Linked DNA regions of Callithrix jacchus. The protein of the gene in region 1 binds, or shares a complex with, the protein of each later gene. Links are inferred from orthologs where the notes say so. Each region holds a gene or a part of one and is shown in the gene's direction. Other genes may lie near its edges.

What was found.
Region 2: the proteins of EIF2B5 (region 1) and EIF2B3 are in contact, whole or in part, in a cryo-EM structure (PDB 7VLK), measured with the Homo sapiens proteins. The link is inferred for Callithrix jacchus from reciprocal best matches to the Homo sapiens genes EIF2B5 and EIF2B3. Residues at the interface, in NP_003898.2 of Homo sapiens: Pro190, Val202, Arg222, Arg223, Phe224, Ala225, Phe226, Pro227, Leu228, Phe231, Gln232, Ser234, Ser235, Asp236, Gly237, Val238, Glu239, Val240, Arg241, Tyr242, Asp243; in NP_065098.1 of Homo sapiens: Arg155, Phe157, Glu178, Glu179, Leu180, Val181, Ile182, Lys183, Gly184, Leu187, Gln188, Pro191, Arg192, Ile193, Arg194, Phe195, His196, Thr197, Gly198.

The regions. Positions count from the first base shown.
Region 1 is NC_133516.1:13,119,722-13,124,239, forward strand, and holds the start of EIF2B5 (translation initiation factor eIF2B subunit epsilon), read left to right. Parts: upstream 1-1,678; 5' UTR 1,679-1,708; coding exon 1,709-1,903; intron 1,904-2,962; coding exon 2,963-3,087; intron 3,088-4,289; coding exon 4,290-4,475; intron 4,476-4,518. UniProt on the Homo sapiens protein: Acts as a component of the translation initiation factor 2B (eIF2B) complex, which catalyzes the exchange of GDP for GTP on eukaryotic initiation factor 2 (eIF2) gamma subunit.
Region 2 is NC_133508.1:81,690,024-81,693,835, reverse strand, and holds part of EIF2B3 (translation initiation factor eIF2B subunit gamma), read left to right. Parts: intron 1-2,926; 5' UTR 2,927-2,935; coding exon 2,936-3,083; intron 3,084-3,812. UniProt on the Homo sapiens protein: Acts as a component of the translation initiation factor 2B (eIF2B) complex, which catalyzes the exchange of GDP for GTP on the eukaryotic initiation factor 2 (eIF2) complex gamma subunit.

The DNA.
Region 1 (4,518 bases):
CACCATGTTAGCCAGGATAGTCTCAATCTCCTGACCTTGTGATCCACCAGCCTCGGCCTCCCAAAGTGCTGGGATTACAGGCATGAGCCACCGAGCCCGGCCTCAAGTAAATTTCTAACAACAAAAAATAACAGTTTGAGAGAGTCTTCCTGAGATTTATCTATAAAAATCATATCCATATAGCTACCAGTCTACAGAATTTTAAGACCTAGATTTGGAGAGAGAGAGAGAATGTGTGTGTGTCCTATTCCTTTTCCCCCCCCCTCTACTTCTACCTCTGGATTTGCACATTCCTTTTCTACAACGTCCATTCATCTAACTGAAAACTTTTACTTAGTTGCCTTCTGCCTTTACTTTTCTAAGCTAAAATTTCCAAAATCAAATGGTTTTCGTTCCGCTCCTTAACGAGGGAAAAAATGACAGATTCGTCGGTCCCACGAGTCGGGCGCCGGAGCACGACGGGTTAAGTCGGAATCGCCACGTGGGAACAAGTCTCAGCCTCGCGGACTCCAAATCCCGACGTGCAGCGCGGGGCTGGATGGGAACAGTTCGCAGGAACTGCAGCAGCCTGTGGTGTGGACCCTGGACAGGCTCCGTGCAGAAAGGGCGCGATGCGTTACAGAAAAGCCCCTTGCCTCCTAAATGACGCCCAGGCTGCCTGCCTAGTTCTGCCGCTTTCCCACGGTCCCGCCCCTCTGCAGAGTTGATTTATTCCCTGCAGCCACCGCTTCTTTCCCCAAAAGAGAATAAGGTGCTGGTGCTCCTTCTCAAGCCTGGGGCCTTTACGCCTGCACTTTCCTCTGCCGGGAAATCTTCCTGCTTAACTCCAGTACAACTTACTGGTGTGCCTAGATCCACCCGCGTCTCCGCTCTGCTTAAGACACAGGAGGCTGATAGGCTGGATGAATGAATAGATGAAGACACAAAATAGCCACTGTTATCCCCACATAACTTGACAGCAAGACTGTGGAACTCTAAAATCACATAGGGTTCCAATACCAGTTCTTCCGCTTACTAGCTGGGTAAATGTCCTTCATCCCTCTGAGAGTTCAAGAAATGTTTGCTGAACGAATGAATAAGATGCTTTGCAGAGATATGTGACGAATTAAATGAGATGATGCTTGTATCATGCCTGGCCCACAATCAGCTCTCAATGGAATTATTAGTCCCCTTACTATATGCCACTTTCTCTATTTATGCAGGTTGTGGGTTTCTTGCAGCGGGGGGACATCTGGCTCGGTTCCATCTCCCCAAGGCGCTGGGTCCCCAGAATTTTCTAGAATGAATGCGGAGGGCTACATATTTCACATGCGTGGGGCGGGGAAACTGCTGGACGTTTACAGATTCCGGATGGCGCTGGCCCCTTCGCGGCGACCACAAATCCTATCACGCCGCAAGAATCTCGGCTTGTTCCCATACTAATGAAGGCCTACGATACTTGCAGACCGAGTATGACGTCTATGGGACCCCACCCCTACCCTGCGCCTCCACTGGCCGGGACAACTGTGACCCGTCCCCACTCCTCGCGCCTCCGGAATCAACCTCAGATCCCAGTGGGCGCCCCGAAAAGACGCATGCGCACTGCTCCCTCCTCGTCTCCTCCTTCCCTTCGTTAATTAGTCCTTCGCCTTTCAGGTGCAGGATCTTTTTGTCCCCTACTGCGTGCGGTGTCAGCTTCCTTGCGGAAGTGGTGGCCGTGGAGAAGAAGATGGCGGCCCCTGTGGTGGCGCCGCCTGGTGTGTTGGTTAGTCGGGCCAACAAGCGCAGCGGCGCGGGGTCGGGGGGCGGCGGTGGCGGGGGAGCCAGAGGGGCGGAGGAGGAACCGACGCCGCCCCTGCAAGCAGTTCTGGTGGCCGATAGCTTCGATCGCCGCTTCTTCCCCATCTCCAAGGACCTGCCTCGGGTGAGCCCCGCGCACGCGAGCAGCCAGAGGGCAGGGAGGTTGGCGGGGCTGGAGCAAGTTCTCCTTTCGGCTAACTAGTAAAGCTAACAAGTCCCCTGAAGGACTTGTGTCCATGCTGTTATCCTAAAACCGAGTTTATGTGGTTAGGAAGGAGGCAGAGGGTCTGTCTAAACCCTGGTGGCTGCTGACCAAGTGAGTGGCTGGCAGATTTGGGGCACTCGTAATGCTGTTCACTTCGGGTTTGAGAGGAAGAAAGAGCTAAATGTAGAAACAGCACTTGAGAGAAGCCTTCACGCGGGGATTCAGTGCCCCTAGAAGAGGCAGCGCCGCTTTTAACCTTGCAGATGACGGATGCTTAGGTGAAAAGAAACGACCTTTTGCCTCTGAAAGGGCTGTAATCATGCCTTAAAAAGAGGGGGCTAGGTCTCGGGCAGTGTACTTTTGTTTTTTCCTTCCAGGTTCAATGATAGTGCCATCTGTCGAAAGGACAAAATGGGTTTAGTGGTTGATTGCCATCTTGCCATCGCCCCCGAGTTGTCTAGACAATGGGGAACTGGACTCAGCTGGGTCGTTCAGCAGTCCTCAGTTCAGAGAGGGAACTACATTAGATTTAAGGAAAATCCTCCCTGATTCCCTCGAAAAAGGCTAATGGCTGTTCTTTTTTGAAAAGTGATCGGAGATGGCTAACCTCCGACTCTTAGAAAAGGATCAAGGAAGGAAATCTTATGGGGAGGAAGGCCTTAGCAGTCCTTAAATTTATGGAAATATGATTGATTTCCAGTATTGCCCTTTGCCAGCGGTGAACTGCCATTCTGTCACAGCTCTGTGTCAGATACAAGGCACGTAGATTCTGTACTTACCATCCCCAAATTGCAACATCTCAGACTCAGGCTTAGAGCATGGCCTGAACATCAATGGCAGGAATCTGTTACCTTTGAATTGGAAAGATACAGCAAAACTACACTGTTTGGAAATACTGACCTAAGAGTGAAAATTGTTGCGGTGGGGTACCCAGAGGGATTTGAGAACTCATTCTTCTTTCCATCTTCTGTCCTTCAGGTCCTCTTGCCCCTGGCCAATGTGGCGTTAATTGACTACACTCTGGAATTCCTGACTGCCACAGGTGTAAAGGAAACATTTGTCTTCTGTTGCTCGAAAGCTGCTCAAATCAAAGAACATTTACTGTAAGGCCCTGCACCATTTCTTTGCATATTTTGCCATCTTTTTCTAGTTTTTTCAGGAGGAATGTAACTAAGTAAGGGGAAATGTGAGAGGGGAAAACTGTCTACTCAAATGTCATTGTTAAGTTCTAAGGGTATTTTCTATGCTTATCAGGAGGTGAGCAGCTGAAACCTTGTATCTGTCTGTCTTGGGTTTTCTGTGACAAAGTTTAAAGAACAAACTTTGTTTTTTTTTTTCTGAATGTCACTTACACAGTTTGGTCCCAGTGGACTTGGCTTTTATGTAATGGCTTCAGTATGGAAGTTACAACAATAACATCTTTGTTTTTCTGCTGAGTTTCTAAATCTTGTTTGTTCTCACCTGCAAGGATATAAATGAGCTCCTTGTTGTCTTTGTATTCCACTGCCTAGGTCAGTGCCAGGCATGCAGTGAGCACTTACATGTTTGTTGAAATCTTGAAAAATAGGGAGTCTCATCACTTATGAAAATCCAGGAAATATAGACTAGGACATTAGCAGGGTCTCTATCAGACAGTTGCTAAATGTTATATGGACTGCAGAAGGGGAAAGCCGACATGAAGTGTGTTCCTAGGGTACTTAGTGTATTCTACGTTTCAGCAGGATTTTGAGTTCAAATCGATGTTTGGGGACAGGGGTCAAGGTATGGAGAGGAAATAACCATGTTTCCTAACCCATAAAACAAGACTGGTGGCCAGGCGCAGTGGCTCGTGCCTGTAATCCCAACACTTTGGGAGGACGAGGTGGGCAGATCACGAGGTCAAGAGATTGAGACCATCCTGGCCAACATGGTGAAACCCTGTCTCTGCTAAAAATACAAAAATTAGCTGGGCATGGTGGCACATGCCTGTAATCCCAGCTACTCGGGAGGCTGATGCAGGAGAATTGCTTGAACCTGGGAGGCAGAGGTTGCAGTGAGCCAATATCGCGCCACTGCACTCCAACCTGGCACCTGGCGACAGAGCGAGACTCTGTCTCAAAAAAAAAAAAAAAAACAAGACTGGTGAACACCAGATGCTGAAAGCATTAATTATAGTTCATAATTCTCTTTGAAGTTGAAGACGCTGGCAAGAACCCAAAAATGCCGCCCGAAAGGACTGAGAATGCTCAATGGGGGAGAAAAATAGCAAAGGCACTTATGATCTTTATGCTTGATATACTCATGCCCCTCACCCTTCTCCCTTTAGGAAGTCCAAGTGGTGCCGCCCCACATCTCTCAACGTGGTCCGAATAATTACATCAGCACTGTATCGATCACTGGGAGATGTCCTCCGTGATGTTGATGCCAAGGCCTTGGTGCACTCTGACTTCATTCTGGTGTATGGGGATGTCATCTCAAACATCAATATCACCAGAGCCCTTGAGGAACACAGGTCAGGATGAGAGAATGACAGGAGCAAGGATTAAAGACCAGCA
Region 2 (3,812 bases), on another chromosome or scaffold:
GCAAGTGGTACCATCTCAGGTTACTGCAACTTCCACCTCTGGGGTTCAGGCGATTCTTCTGCCTCAGCCTCCTGAGCACCTAGGATTACTGGTTCTCGCCACCATGCCTGACTAATTAAAAAAATTTTTTTTTTTGAGACGGAGTTTCACTCTTGTTACCCAGGCTGGAGTGCAATGGCGCGATCTTGGCTCACCACAACCTCCGCCTCCTGGGTTCAGGCAATTCTCCTGCCTCAGCCTCCCGAGTAGCTGGGATTACAGGCACGTGCCACCATGCCCAGCTAATTTTTTGTATTTTTAGTAGAGACGGGGTTTCACCATGTTGACCAGGATGGTCTTGATCTCTTGACCTCGTGATCCGCCCACCTCGTGATCCGCCCGCCTCGGCCTCCCAAAGTGCTGGGATTACAGGTGTGAGCCACCGCCCCCGGCCCTAAAATATTTTTAATAGAGACAGAATTTCACCAAGCTGCTCTTGAAGTCCTGACCTCAGATGATCCGCCCACCTTGCCTCCCCAAGTGCTGACATTACAGGTGTAAGCCACCACGCCCTGCCCATCCTTTGACTCTTAAGGGTCCAGTGGTCTTCATAATAACATTAGATGTGGTGAATGTTATATAGCACCAAAGAGAAATTAAATTCCAGTCTGAGGCAATGCTTGCTAGAATCAAAATGACTATATCTTTACATTGTGAATGTTATGCAAGAGCCTTCACTTTGTGCCTTGGGTATAGTAGGTGATAAGTGCTGCACGTTAGATGTTGATGTGTATGGGGGGGTCCAGGAGTGATTATAATTATAGTAAAGTTGCAACATTATTTGGCAATTTGATGTCAAATAGATTCTTTCTTTTGAATGTTACATTTTAACATTTATTTTTTAAATTACATCATTGCTGTAAATCAGAGAAGAGTACTTTCAGTTTAAATCATTAAAGATTGGTCAGGCGCAGTGGTTCATGCCTCTAATCCCAGCACTTTGGGAGGCCCAGGGAGGAGGCTTGAGGCCAGGAGTTTGAGACCAGCCTGGACGGCATATTGAAACCCCATCTCTATAAAAAATTAAAAGAATTAGCCAGGCGGCTGGGCACAGTGGCTCAGGCCTGTAATCCTAACACTTTGGGAAACCAAGGTGGGTGGATCACCTGAGGTTGGGAGTTCGAGACCAGCCTAACCAACATAGAAAAACCCCATCTCTACTAAATATACAAAATTAGGCAGGTGTGGTGGCGTATGTCTGTAGTCCCAGCTACTCGGGAGAGGCTGAGGCAGGAGAATCGTTTGAACCTGGGAGGCAGAGATTGCAGTGAGCCAAGATTGTGCCACTGCACTCCAGCCTGGGCAATAAGTGTGAAACTCCATCTTATTGAAGAAAAAAAAATGGAATTAGCTAGGCATGGCGGCACCCACATGTCCCAGCTACTCCAGAGGCTGGGGCAGGAGGTCGAGGCTGCAGTGAGCCGTGATCATGCCACTGCACTTCCAGACTGGGCAACAAAGTGAGAGCCTGTCTCTAAACAAATAATTTTTATGGCTGGGCACACTGACTCATGCCTGTAATCCTAGCACTTTGGGAGGCCGAATCAGGTAGATCACCTGAGGTTAGGAGTTTGAGACCAACCTGGCCATCATGGTGAAACCCCATCTCTACTAAAAATACAAAATTATCCGGACCTGGTGGCCCATGCCTGTAATCCCAGCTACTCGGGAGGCTGAGGCAGAAGAATCACTTGAATGTGGGAGGCAGAGGTTGCGGTGAGCCAAGATCGCGCCATTGCACTCCAGCCTGGGCAACAAGAGTGAAACACCATCTCCAAAAATAAGTAAATAAGTATTTATGACCTTTTACTGTGCCTCTGGTCTGTGGTAGTTTCTGTAAAGAGATTATTTTCAAAGTCAAATAGGTTTATTACCTTGAGTTTGAAAAGCAGGAATTAACAGTTTGGTTTGTTTTTAATAATTGGGTTCTGTAAATCTAGGTTCAGATATAGATATCTTTAATAATTGGAGGAGTAAGAAGGTGAGCCGATGGCTGAATTATTGGAGGAGACTTAAGTCATTTTATGCTTTTCAAATGCCTAACATGCTTGTGTTTCTGCTGTTAATTCTAGTAGTCAGACATCTTTTAATATTTTCCTTCTTTTTTTTTTTTGAGATAAGATCTTACTCTGTCACACAGGTTGGAGTGCAGTGGTGCAATCTTGGCTCACTTTAATACCAGCCTCCCAAGGCTCAAGTGATCCTCCCACTTAAGCCTCCCAAATAGCTGGAACCACAGGCATGAGCCACTATGCCTGGCTAATTTGTTGCATTTTTGGTAGAGATGGGGTCTTGCATGCTGCCCAGGCTGGGCTTGAATTCCTGAGCTCAGGTGATCCACACACCTCAGCCTCCTAAAGTGCTGGGATTACAGATGTGAGACACCTTACCCAGTGTAATATTTTCAAAAAATAAAAATTCACACATCAGAAGCCTACTCGGTAAACTCTTAGTCCTTCAGAGTCAGCTCAAGCATCCCTTCCTGTAAAATCTTCCCTGTGTTTTCAAAGAAAACTAGGTGTTCACTTTATTGTATGCCCATTGCATCTTTGATATATTTCATCTGTGGTACTAATGACATATATTGTGATTTACTGAATTTGTCTTCTCCACTTAATTGTAAATAACTCAAGGGCAAGGGCCAGATTTTTTTTTCATTCATATCCTCCCACTTTTACCAAGGATAGAACTGAGAATATATATTGGTAGACATAATGTTTATCTGCAGCTAAGCTTTTCTTACTCTGATTGCTAGAGTTGGGAGTTATACATTTGACATAGTGGGTATCAGTAACCTAAATAAAAATAGGCTAGTAGTGTGTGTGCTTTGATTTTTGTTACATTGGTTTTTTTCTGTTAATTGTTTTTTCTGTGTTTTTTCTTGTAGCTTGTAAAAATGGAATTTCAAGCAGTAGTGATGGCAGTAGGTGGGGGATCTCGGATGACAGACCTAACTTCCAGCATTCCCAAACCTCTGCTTCCAGTTGGGAACAAACCTTTAATTTGGTACCCATTGAACCTGCTTGAGCGTGTTGGATTTGAAGGTGAGCTATGACAAAGTGAGCTGTGAACTCATAAAACTTTTAGGGGATTTGATCCCCATGATTTGTCAGCATTATAATAGTGAGAGAGGGTAACTAGAATTCATTGACTGAAGACTGGCCTCTTTAAATAAGGAATGTAGGAGTACTCTATTGCTGTGCGAAAAAAGGATGAGAGGATAGCACTAAGTGTTGTTGTTACGGAGCTGTTGTCCACTATGATCCAAGATGAACCCTGTACGAATATCAGAAAGAGCAGATTGTGACTCTTAAATGCCTCATAGTCAGTAGTTGATGAGACTCTATTATGTACTAGGTAATATCTCTATTATAAAAAAAAACTTAAAACATATATATATTATGTACCAGGTAATAGAGATACTATGTACCAGGTTATCTATTAAGCATGGAGGTACACAGAATTGAAAAGACAGCTCAGGCCCTGACTTCTAGAACCTTAAAATCTAGTGATTCTTTCTACTTTTGCTTGGGTAACTAGGTAGATGATTATGCCATGAAGTAGAAAAAGGAATAGGAAACAAGGAACAGATTTTAATGAAAATAATGAGTTCAGCTTTGGTCATATTGAGTTTGAGGTGCCCTATATTTAGATATAATAAATCAGGGTGCCAAAGCCTGAGGCCTAGTCTTGTGATCCAGTATTCATTCCATTATTAGAGTTGCCTCCAATAGGAAGGGGTGATAACTTGATAGCTCTTTCTTTGTATTGAA